Mus musculus: one gene and its partners. The protein of the gene in region 2 binds, or shares a complex with, the protein of the main gene of each other region. Links are inferred from orthologs where the notes say so. Each region holds a gene or a part of one and is shown on either strand. Other genes may lie near its edges.

Region 1 (3,789 bases), on a different chromosome or scaffold from region 2:
TCAGCTTCAGGTGCAAGGAGAATGGCAGCATAATAAAATGGGATGGGAGGAGTGTATAATCGGTGTAAATGATGAGTCTTAATGTTTTTAGACACATAGAGTAGTACTAGTACGTCCTAGGTAAAAACATTACAGTAAGGAAGTTCCTTAACTCTTCCCAGTAAGTCTATTTAATTCTAGAAGGAAGTACACGGTTGGGGACATGACTTGATCAGTAAAGTATATGATTTGTAGGTAGGAGGATCTGAGTCTGGTTCCTCAGAATGCATGTAAAATGCCAGGCATGGTGGAAGCCACCTGTAGTGGCAAAGACAAGAAGACCCTGTGACTCACAGTCCACCCAACCTACCTTAATTGATAAGCTCCAGGCCACTGATATACTCTCAAAAAGTAGGGCAATATTCCTGAAGACTATCCCCACAGTTGTCCTCTGGCTTCCACACATGTGCGCACACACAAATAACAAAGGATAAAAAAATCTATCCTGTCACTAGTGCTCCTAACCTATCACATGACCCTTTACATTTTCTCAAACCATATTAGCCTATGGTATTAAAATGAGTAGAGATTCAAAATAATTTTAAAATCATTTAATATGCAAAGTGAAAAACTAGAATATAAAAGCATTTCACATTTTTTCAAACAAAATAACATCTTCTAAGTTATTTAACATAAGGCAGAGAACCGCAGTCTTTTATCTGAAACCCTTAAGTCTAGATGTTTCAGAATGAGAACTGTTCAGATTTTAGAAAGGTAATTCAGTGCATACGCCACACTACATCAACCTTCAAGAGAGCCTGTGGCAGCACATCCCAATAATCAAACACATAAATCAATGAATATTCACACTAAATGGGATAAGCAGATCCAGTGTCAGATCAGAATAGATACCTTGTTTTCAGAACTTGGATTCTGAGACTGTAATTACAGATAAAGGAATGCAGACCCTTTGGAATTTGTATGACAAGACATAAAAGATTGTTTAAACAAGTAACCCATTTTTACAAATGCAAAAACAATACAACCTTCAAATACATTATAAATTAACAGGCATCTTCTCTTTGATATTATTAAATGTACACCTTAAATACATATACATATAGCACACAACACAATTCATTATGGTCAGCTGATATCAAAGGCACAAAAGTCCAACCCCTTACACAGGAAAAGGACTCTATTAAATGTGTGATTAAAGATGGGATTCATCTGACTCCATGTGATGCCATGAAGAACACTTGCTGAGAGCAACACAAGGAGGCTGGGCTTAGTCTTCAGGAAGAGCAATTTTACTTGTCAGCAGTCTCTTCCACAGAAAACCCATAGATAAAACTTTACTTCAAATGAACACTGGGTGAATTTTTCATTCCTGTATACTAATACCATGTTGGGCCTTATGCCGAAAATTTAGGCCTTTAGAAGATTATCTTTTTCATCAGCTAAACTAGTAGTAGTATTTTTCCAATTTTATAAGATAAGCAGGTCACTAATGATCTCCCTCATTAGTTGCGGTGTTAAAAAGAATAATTAATTTCACTAATTTGCTATAAAATTCTATCTGTTCAGAGATCATAATTATTAGAAACAAACAAAACACCAAGCTACTGTGCTTGTAAAGTCACTCGTAGTTTCCGATCACAGCCATCTCCTCACGGACTGGTAAGTGAGGAATGGCTTCAGCAAGTAAAGATGACTTTGGAGTAAATGACAAAACAGCTTCGTAGGCTCCAGGACAGTAAACGAGTGTCGAGTCATTCTGCTAACCAACTCCAATCAAGACTCTAAAAGCAGGCATGCAAAGTCACAATTAGCAGTTATCTGAATGTAGAGTTCACTTTTAAAAATTTTTTTAATGTTTGGACATTTTATATTCAAAATTCAAAAAGTTAAAACTACAGAAGTTAGAGTTTGAATTTAGCTTACTTTATCTTCTGGGAACTCAAAAAGTATTTAAAGTTATTTTAAAATCCGAGTCAAATACTCTTAAGTGGAAAGACAAAGAGTTGTATCAAAACTAAATGCAGTGAATTTGCTAAGATTTTAGAGTAGCTTCTCCCAGTTTTAACAAATCAATAGTTCAAAGCAACTAAATCTTGATTCAGCCTCTTTTATTATTAGCTTAATCGATCTTATATGCATCAAATACAGTAATTACAGAGTAAAACTATCAGCTTACTGAAAAAAATGTATTGCTGAAGCAAAGGGGTACATGCATTCACACTGCGAAGAAAGGTTAATCTGACTGTTGACGCTGCTGGGGATGCTCACTGTCGACACAATGCTACCACACAGGACAGTTAGTTTTGCAGAGTCGACGTAACCTAGAATCACCTCAGAGGAGACTGCCAAGGACAGCTGGGATGAGCCTGATTTCCTTAACTGATGTGCAAACCATCCGGCCTAAAAGTTGGCAGCACCGTGCCGAGGGCTGAGCCCTGTATTATACTATGAAAAGGCGAGCTGAGTACTGCCAGGAATGCAGACGCTCATTCCTCTACACTCCTGACTGACTGTAGCTGTTACGTCTACCTACTTCAAGTTCCTGCCTTGACTTCCTCATAATGGTGGTCTGTAGTCTATAATTATAAGCAGAAGAAACCTTTCTCCCCTACGCTGCTTTTTGTAAGGCTAATTGATCACAGTAACAGAAGTTACTCCACACAAAACTTACCATCAAACTACTGCTCTGGTCCTCATTTGCTTCACGAATAATAGTACTTAAATGGCCAAGACAGTTCAGATTTTCTTCTATCATTTGTGCTAACGTCTCTCTGACAGATGAAAGAACAAAACCATTTCAAGTTCAGCAAAGGAGCCCCTGAGTGTTGCCTCCTTTCTGATCTTCTAAGTCAGGATGACCACTTTCTGTGACCAAGCACCCCAGCAAAGCAGCTGCTGCTGTCTTCAGTTTCTTCATCCCTCCCACTCAGAGACAGCACCCCACTTCACCTAAGCCCCTGTATCTGCCTACTCTGGGGAGTCCACTGTAACTCTAATCAGATTTTCTTTTGAAAGAGGTGGCACTGGTAGCAGCCTCCCGCCCTCCCTGCTAACAAGTACCAGATTAGGGGAAGGTCCCTTGGTATTGACAAACGGAATACATTTTTGCTTGTTTGTTTCTGGATTGCTTTCTTTTTCTTTTACAGACAGTAAAACACCAGCATGTTCACTTCACACACAAACACAGGGGAAGAGTCAAAGTGCAGTCCGGTCTCCAGAGATCCAGGAAAGAAACACTGGTTCGAAACCACAGACAGTAGCAATGAAAACAAGCAAGCCGACCGATGAAGACAGCAGATGAAACCATGAACAACAAGTATCCCTGGTTTCTTGTATGTGAAGGTGGCCTTGACTCTAGCTTCTCCCTTCATGTTTCCTCTTCCATATGTCCTCTGCCATCATCCTTCACCAGCCCTCAGTCCCTCCTTTATCACACTGTAAGCCATATATAACATCCACTGTTAGCTTAAAACTAAGTACTGATTTAGAAAATATCATGCTAACAACTTCCTAATCCTTGGTTATGAAGTACCAGCGGTACATTATAATTAAGATCAGCTTTCGTTTATCAGAACATGTATCTTTTGATAAAGATATGCTGTTGGAAACAACCGCAGACTCAGACTGGAAGTTTCCTAGAGAGCTGAGGATTAGTATGTACTAAACTTTACTTCCTTCAGCTCTAACGGAGAATCTTCTCAAGTCTGTAGAATCCCACTCTCCACTCTACTTGTTTACATGCTCATCCTGGGCCACACAGTTAGTGAGCCCGAGACCTGCCCTGGAACT
Region 2 (4,210 bases):
ACATGCATACTCAGGGGGAGGCGCTGGAATTCCAAAGAGAGGAAAGCTGACATAAGGCTCATTAAGAAAAAGATCATTCACATCTCACCAGAAATCTATGCAGAACTAGAGAGGCCTCCTGGATCTGGTCTGACAAACTCTGATCCACGTTGCTTTAATTTTCCCTAAGTAGGGGTGGGGTGGAAGTAACATTTGTACTTTTGCCGGTTAAACTAGAGGCTCACAGGCCCAAATCCCTTTCTTGGGGGAGCAGCTACCCATAATGCCGCGGTCCCTTGGGAGCAAGGAAGCTGATAGAAGCAGCAGGTTTCAGATGGGGTCTGTGTTAGGACTATCTTGAGCCTCCTGCAGGATACCTCACAGTTACTTTTTTAGCTATGTTTGAGAGGCCAGCCTTGGCTAGGGCACTAAGTCAATTGCTCTGCTAGGCATTCACAATAAGCTCCGGCTTCATTCTCTGCAACAAGTTAACTCCGACAGCAAGAACGCAACAGTTGCGGTTGCAAGGAAACTACAACTTCTACTAAGATTAACAGCTTGCATTACTTGGGGAAAAATGTGGTTCCCATACGGAGCTAGGATTTGCCCCTCCCCCGGGGGGGGGGGCAAGATTATTGACCCCTAGGAAATAATCTAGGGGTTCTCCAAGCTCTTGGTTTTTGTTGGTGGTGGTGGTGGTTTTGTTTGTTTTAATGCCAAAGTTTTTACAGCTTCATGGAGTAGGAGTGAAGGACAGCCAAATGTCCCTGCATTGCAAAGGGCCTGGAACAGACAAAACACAGCCGGCCCCGGAACCACTCATATGTCCGTCGTCGCAGAAATTTAGGAGAAGCGAATCCCTGCACCTAGCCAGCGTTTCCACTCTTGGGTTTTCAAAAAGATCAAAAACCGGAAAAGACCTGCAAACTGGCAAATCGCTAAGAGGAACAGCCTAGCAGGTCTGCGTCCTTGGAAGCTGCGCAGCTTGGGACCCCAAACCAAAATCGCCCGGTGGGAAACCCCAGGGAAAGAAGGGTTCTTGCAGAGGGCTGGGGTTACTGAGTGCAGGCTGCAGGGAAGTACCTAGAGGGAGGGGGCCTGGTCGGGAGGACTTTCCAGCCACTCAGGGCTCATCAAAAAGTTCCCTGTGCATGACCCCAGTGGCTCATCGCAGGGAGTTTCTCCGATGAACCCCGGCCCTGGGTTTAGGCTTCTCAGTGGAGGACGAGCCAGTTCTTTTTCTAGTCTGACTGGCTTGGAAATTCCCCGCGCCTGACCCCGCCCCTGAGAAATCCCCTGCCAGCGTTTATAGGGCGCCGCGGCGGCGCTGCCGAGCCCACAACAGTCAGACCTCGCCAGCCAGCCGCCAGCAGCCTGCAGCCTGCACCCGCTCAGCCCCGCACAGCCATGTTTCAGCCAGCTGGGCACGGCCAGGACTGGGCCATGGAGGGCCCGCGGGATGGCCTCAAGAAGGAGCGCTTGGTGGACGATCGCCACGACAGCGGCCTGGACTCCATGAAGGACGAGGAGTACGAGCAAATGGTGAAGGAGCTGCGGGAGATCCGCCTGCAGCCGCAGGAGGCGCCGCTGGCCGCCGAGCCCTGGAAGCAGCAGCTCACGGAGGACGGAGACTCGTAAGTGGCGCCGGGCACCGGTGGGGGTCGCGCGGGGCCTGCAGCGCGCTCGGGGTTCTGCACGGCGAGGGCGCCGGGGTTGCGGGGCGCCGGGGCTGCGGCGGGCCGCCTGTCTTCCCCCCTCCCCCTCCTCCCCTGTCCCCGGACCCGGAGTCGCCGAGCGCAGGCCGGGGGGGGCGGGGCGGCAGCGGCGGCGAGGACGCAAAGTCCCGGCCTGGCAGCGGTGGCGCGCAGCCGCCGGGCGCCGCGCGGCCGCGAGGGGAAGTACAGGGCGTTCCGGGCGGCGGAGGGCGGGCCGGTCTGGCCGGCGCCCGCCCGGAGGGGGTGGGGCACGGAAAGTCCCTGGGCGGCTGCCAGGAACACTCAGCTCATAATAACCTCGCGGAAAACACCGCGGCCGCGGCCTCCAGAAACCCCGGCCTTGCGCAATCCCCCCTCCAACCCCACCTCCAGCCCGCGCCTCCCCCCCCCCCACGCAGTGTGCTCACCACCCCTCGGGGGGTTTCCCTGTCATCCCTCAGGTTCCTGCACTTGGCAATCATCCACGAAGAGAAGCCGCTGACCATGGAAGTCATTGGTCAGGTGAAGGGAGACCTGGCCTTCCTCAACTTCCAGAACAACCTGCAGCAGGTGCGCTGCTTGCTTGCCCCGCGGGTGCCCTCTTTGACCCCTTGGTGGAGTCAGATGTAGCACGGTCGCCCCCAAAGCGTTTCTAAATTAATAGTCACTTAGTTCTTATCTGCCTTGGCCTTTTGCATTCAAATCAGCCAACGTCTTAGAACCAGAAGAAAAATCCCTTGGGTTTAGTGAGGTCTTTATGACCCACCTAGGGCCTCCTGTTTGCCTGATCTCCTAAGAGACAAATGGGAGGATCAGATTCCATAGCGGGAGGTGTCTGGGGTTCAGGAAACTCAAGACTATGGGTTTGCTCCATGGCTTATCCCTTTCTGTTTCCTCTTCCATTTGTAGACTCCACTCCACTTGGCTGTGATCACCAACCAGCCAGGAATTGCTGAGGCACTTCTGAAAGCTGGCTGTGATCCTGAGCTCCGAGACTTTCGAGGAAATACCCCTCTACATCTTGCCTGTGAGCAGGGCTGCCTGGCCAGTGTAGCAGTCTTGACGCAGACCTGCACACCCCAGCATCTCCACTCCGTCCTGCAGGCCACCAACTACAATGGTAGGTCTGCCAGTCCATCCAAGGATGCAGAGGAGGGAGAGAGATGGGGCCACTTGAGTCTTAAACTCCGAACGTATACAAAGTTCAGACACTGTGATCTTTTTAAAAAGTTTTCTCCTCGATGCCTATATGATATTCACTCAGAACCCAGATTCTGAGTTCTTCAAAACTGATGATGTTTGTGGTTGTCCTCAAGACAATAGACATGAGTTGTGTGAGGATTGAAACACGTAGTTACAGTTTTTGTCTTCCTCCTCCAGGCCACACGTGTCTGCACCTAGCCTCTATCCACGGCTACCTGGCCATCGTGGAGCACTTGGTGACTTTGGGTGCTGATGTCAACGCTCAGGTGAGTACATCTCCCTTCCACCTAATCTCTGTTGGGCTGGCTCTGATGGTGAGCAGGTTTCCAGATGCAGCCGTAAACTAACGCCTGATTGCTTTTGGTTTCAGGAGCCCTGCAATGGCCGGACAGCCCTCCACCTTGCGGTGGACCTGCAGAATCCTGACCTGGTTTCGCTCTTGTTGAAATGTGGGGCTGATGTCAACAGGGTAACCTACCAAGGCTACTCCCCCTACCAGCTTACCTGGGGCCGCCCAAGTACCCGGATACAGCAGCAGCTGGGCCAGCTGACCCTGGAAAATCTCCAGATGCTACCCGAGAGCGAGGATGAGGAGAGCTATGACACGGAGTCAGAATTCACAGAGGATGAGGTGAGTGTTCCTCCCCTCAGCACGCTGACGGCTGTTCTAGGGCTGCTTTGGATCAGAGGGATTTCAGTTGTTTAACTTCTCAGACTCGGCTTGCAAAGCCAGGATCCCAAGAATTTGTCTCTGGTTTGTTTTAAGAGCTTACCCTTTTGGGTTGAGGAATGAGGGAATTCTAGAAATTGAACCCAGGCCTTAGCACATGGTGATAAGCACACGTTCAACCATTAAGCTCCACCCCCTCAATAGCTTAGACTTTTTTTTTTTTTAAGGAAAGAATAGGTAAGGGAAACTCCTACAGCCTGGTGCCCTTGTTCTATTTGGGTTAAGGAGAAAAAGAGCCCAAGAATAGGAGTTATTTCAGCAGCAGCTCTCCCCTTATCCCAATGTCTTGGTGAAGTTCTAGGAATTTAATATGTCTTTTTCCCCTCTCTTGTTTTAGCTGCCCTATGATGACTGTGTGTTTGGAGGCCAGCGTCTGACATTATAAGTGGAAAGTGGCAAAAAGAATGTGGACTTGTATATTTGTACAAATAGAGTTTTATTTTTCTAAAAAAAAAAAAAAAAAGAAAAAGAAAAAAAATGAGAAAGGGTATACTTAGCACCACACCACACAGCGCCTAGACCCAGGCATTTTACTGGGGTGATTCGGCTGTTGTCTTTGTGAAATCCGGGGAAACAGATCACTGAAATTCAAAGAAAATGTCTC
Region 3 (3,645 bases), on a different chromosome or scaffold from region 2:
GGCACACATTTGTATTTCTAACACCCAAGAAGACACAGGAGGACTGACAGCTTCATGTCAATCTGGGCTACACAGCAAGTTCTGGGCCAGCCTCAAACACAGGAAGACCCTCTCTCAAACAAAACAAAGCAAAACAACTCCACAAAGCCAAACAAAGAAACCCAAAAGTTATGAGAATCACAAACGCTGCCTGTCTATGTCCTTGAGGCTAAGAAGCTGGTATGGCAGGGAATGTTTGTGCCCATTAACTGAGTGAAGCCAAGGTGGGAAAAACTGGGGAGAAAGGTCTGAGGGCTCCAAATCAGAGCAGCTTTGCCTTGAGCTCAGGGGAGAGGTTCCATCCACAAAGAGCTGGGTCGCACACAATAGAGCCTGCTTCCGCAGATCCTATCACCAACAGCCAGCAGGGCTTCCTGAATCCAACCTCCAGCAGCCGAGGGAAGCAGGTTTTGCAAAGAGGATTGGGAAGTAGCAACTTCCTCTTCTTCAGTTTATTCTTATACTTGTGATGGTTAAAAATGCAATCTGCCACTTGTCTGCTATGAGGTAGCCTGGGTGCAGGGGTGATGCCTTCCTCCACCTCGCCTCTCACTACCTGTGCAGGCAGTCAGGAGAGCTGGCCTGGGGTCATGCAAGGGGGTGAGCTAGCCCTGTCCTTCACAGGCTTTCGAGAGCAGGCCTTGCATCTAGCCTGTGCTGCAGAGTAGAGAGGACCCTCGTGGAGGGAGCACAGTGAGCAGCCCTGAGGGTGTGAGAGCAGGAGAACTGGCCCTGCCCCTCACTCACAGGCTGTAGTGTATGGGAGAGTGGGTCCTGCCCTTTGGGCAGCACAGTGGAGCCAGCTCTGGAGGCATAGGGAGATCCGACAGCTCCCTATTTCCAGATGTGACTGTTGCATGTATACAGGAAGAGTGCTCTTCCAGTGTTGGCTACAGACAGCTGCTCTGGGAAGACATGTATTCTTTAGTGTGCTCACATGCACTCCACACGGTTTTATACATACATTTCCTATCCCACATCAGCCTTTCCCTTTAAGTTTCGATTTAAAATACTTTCTCAATTCATAATTTTTGCAAAATTCAACTGAGAGGACCTGTATATTTCCTGAGATTGAACCAGACGCTTACCTCCTAAGTTCCCCCAGCAGTTACATCCTACTTAACACAATAATACAATTAGGAATTGCAACAGATTCTAATCAGATCTCAATATTTGTATGTACTCATATGCATGGATAGCTCTGTAAGATTTTTTTTTTCCTAAGCTGAACATGGTGGTATTGTGTTTTAGTTCCTGTTATTCAGGTAGCTAAGGCAGGAAGAGTCCTTGAATATAGATGTTCCAATGTAGCCTGGGCAGAAAGCAAGACTGTTTCTAAGCAGAGTGAATGAATGAATGAATGAATGGTCAATCCATGTGCTTGTGGATGTGTATGTAGCATTGTACTGTGTCCCTGTCTTGGGTCTTCACGCTGTTTATCCTTTAGTTTCATAGACAGCTGGTTTGTTCTCATTGCTCCTGAAGAGAATGCTGTCATGTCCCCTAACTAGCTGCTCACTGTCCACAGGCTGTGCACTGCAGTGAGCACCTGCACTGTACCCATGGGTGCCACAAGTGGGTTTCAAGGGCAGTGTGAGCCCTGAGCTCCACAGATGGATTCTAGGGATTCCTTGAGGCACGCATTTTATGCGTGTGTAAAATGTAACCCTTGGGTGTTGGTGGCCCACCAGCCACTGCTTCCCAGCAGGAAGAACTCCCTGAATGGGAGGTCGGGCAAGTCCTCACTACACAGCCTGGGCTTCAGTGTAAAGCGCCTACAACACAGACTGGCTGGCATTGAGAGTTGGTGCTACTCTCTACCAGTGATCTCAGCTTTTTGACAGACACTTTTGTGATTGGGTTAGCCCCACTTGTTTCTGAAAACAGTTTTCCATGCGTCCTACTTACAACCATGGAAGCACAGCTTTGAGGTCAGGGTAGTCAGAAAGACCTCCCAGAGCCTATTATGCACAGTGCCTGGGATTGTTTTCTGCCTGAACTTTCTTAGGGAGAGTGCTGTATTGGCTAACTATGCCCTGAGGATCTGGTAGCACCTGTGATAGTATTACAGTGGAGCTTGTATCTGTGCGTCTCTTGAAGCCAGCCTGCAGCAGTGTGTTCTGGTTTAGCCTATGTACTTCCAGACCATTGTGGAAGGATGACATCTTTCTTGATTGCTTTCTTTTAATAGTCTATTTATGTTTTGTTGTTAAAAACACAGCATTGGTTCGATTTGCAAATGTATAGAATTACCAGCTATAGATAGATACCTATCAGAAATTCAGAGAAATTAAATTTTCTTCTACAAGAGTTAAAAAAAATCATGTAGCAAACGTATCCCATAACCCCGACTGTTGAATGCTGGTTCTCTCCGTGGGCCTTTGAGCCTGGCATGCAGAACAGGAAGCTCCTTGAGTGACAAATGTCCCTACAGTATGACTCCATAACGTAGCCTGAAGCCAGGGGCTACAGACATCCCTAAGCAATGGCTCTCCCTCTCCTTCTCTGTGTAGACACCTCTGCACTTGGCCGTGATCACCAAGCAGGAAGATGTAGTAGAGGATTTGCTGAGGGTTGGGGCTGACCTGAGCCTTCTGGACCGCTGGGGCAACTCTGTCCTGCACCTAGCTGCCAAAGAAGGACACGACAGAATCCTCAGCATCCTGCTCAAGAGCAGAAAAGCAGCGCCCCTTATCGACCACCCCAATGGGGAAGGTAAGAGCAGTCGCCTTGCTGGCTAACCGTCCCCTCTCGGCTGCAGCATAAGGGCTTGGCATTTGACAAATGCATCTGACATGACTTTCACCATGAATACTCTCCTCAGCCAGCTGGAGTTTGTCATATCTTGTGGTTATTTCTGCTGTTTATTACAGCAAACGCCCTTAAAGAGTATTTGTGAGTATTGCTTAGTAAGTGGAAAAGCAAGCCCGAGCAAACATTAGTCTTTATAAAGCATCGTGTGTGTGTGTGTGTGTGTGTGTGTGTGTGTGTGTGTGTGTGGAGAACGTTTACATAGTAGCTCAGTGTCTCCCGAGAACACAGTGGGAGCTTGTGGCTTCTGAAAGTAGAACAGTGGACCGTCTGAGGCTTTGAAGCACGCCCTGAACAGAAACCGGAAGTGCTGCGACCTGGTGGTGTCCCTCCTCCCCGCAGCCCAGCTCTGTCAGTCTCACCCACATCTCTGCCTTTGTTCGGCCTTAGGTCTAAATGCCATCCACATAGCTGTGATGAGCAATAGCCTGCCATGTCTGCTGCTGCTGGTGGCTGCCGGGGCAGAAGTCAATGCTCAGGAGCAGAAGTCTGGGCGCACAGCGCTGCACCTGGCCGTGGAGTACGACAACATCTCCTTGGCTGGCTGCCTGCTTCTGGAGGTAAAGGCGTACTTGTGATCTTGACCTAAATCCCCCTGGAAGTTTTAGGGAAGTCTTTTCAAAGAATGACTCTAGGGCCAGCTCGCTGTCAGTATTCCACTGTCTGCTTTCTGCATCCCCAGCTCCAGCCCAGCTCTCAACCTGGGGATGCCAGTGACAGAGCCAGCCCAGTATAGCAGTTGGGTGAATGATGTAACCTGAGGTGCAACGGAGATGTGGAGGTAGACAGTGGAGG

The links. The genes of interacting proteins can lie anywhere in the genome.
Region 1: Nfkbia (region 2) and Chuk share a complex: the UniProt entries of both Homo sapiens proteins name them as parts of the 70-90 kDa complex. The link is inferred for Mus musculus from reciprocal best matches to the Homo sapiens genes NFKBIA and CHUK.
Region 3: the proteins of Nfkbia (region 2) and Nfkb1 are in contact, whole or in part, in a crystal structure (PDB 1NFI), measured with the Homo sapiens proteins. The link is inferred for Mus musculus from reciprocal best matches to the Homo sapiens genes NFKBIA and NFKB1. Residues at the interface, in NP_065390.1 of Homo sapiens: Asn108, Asn109, Leu110, Gln111, Arg140, Tyr181, Pro214, Cys215, Asn216, Arg218, Tyr248, Gln249; in NP_001158884.1 of Homo sapiens: Lys251, Ile252, Val253, Arg254, Met255, Asp256, Arg257, Thr258, Ala259, Pro326, Lys345, Leu348, Tyr350, Ile353.

The regions. Positions count from the first base shown.
Region 1 is NC_000085.6:44,072,760-44,076,548, forward strand, and holds the end of Chuk (inhibitor of nuclear factor kappa-B kinase subunit alpha), read right to left. Parts: exon of another isoform or gene 3,007-3,789; intron 2,772-3,006; coding exon 2,672-2,771; intron 1,782-2,671; coding exon 1,752-1,781; 3' UTR 575-1,751; downstream 1-574.
Region 2 is NC_000078.6:55,489,703-55,493,912, reverse strand, and holds the start of Nfkbia (NF-kappa-B inhibitor alpha), read left to right. Parts: upstream 1-1,265; 5' UTR 1,266-1,386; coding exon 1,387-1,613; intron 1,614-2,134; coding exon 2,135-2,243; intron 2,244-2,582; coding exon 2,583-2,793; intron 2,794-3,053; coding exon 3,054-3,142; intron 3,143-3,246; coding exon 3,247-3,507; intron 3,508-3,943; coding exon 3,944-3,991; 3' UTR 3,992-4,210. UniProt on the Homo sapiens protein: Inhibits the activity of dimeric NF-kappa-B/REL complexes by trapping REL (RELA/p65 and NFKB1/p50) dimers in the cytoplasm by masking their nuclear localization signals.
Region 3 is NC_000069.6:135,593,974-135,597,618, reverse strand, and holds part of Nfkb1 (nuclear factor NF-kappa-B p105 subunit), read left to right. Parts: intron 1-2,552; coding exon 2,553-2,754; intron 2,755-3,240; coding exon 3,241-3,410; intron 3,411-3,645.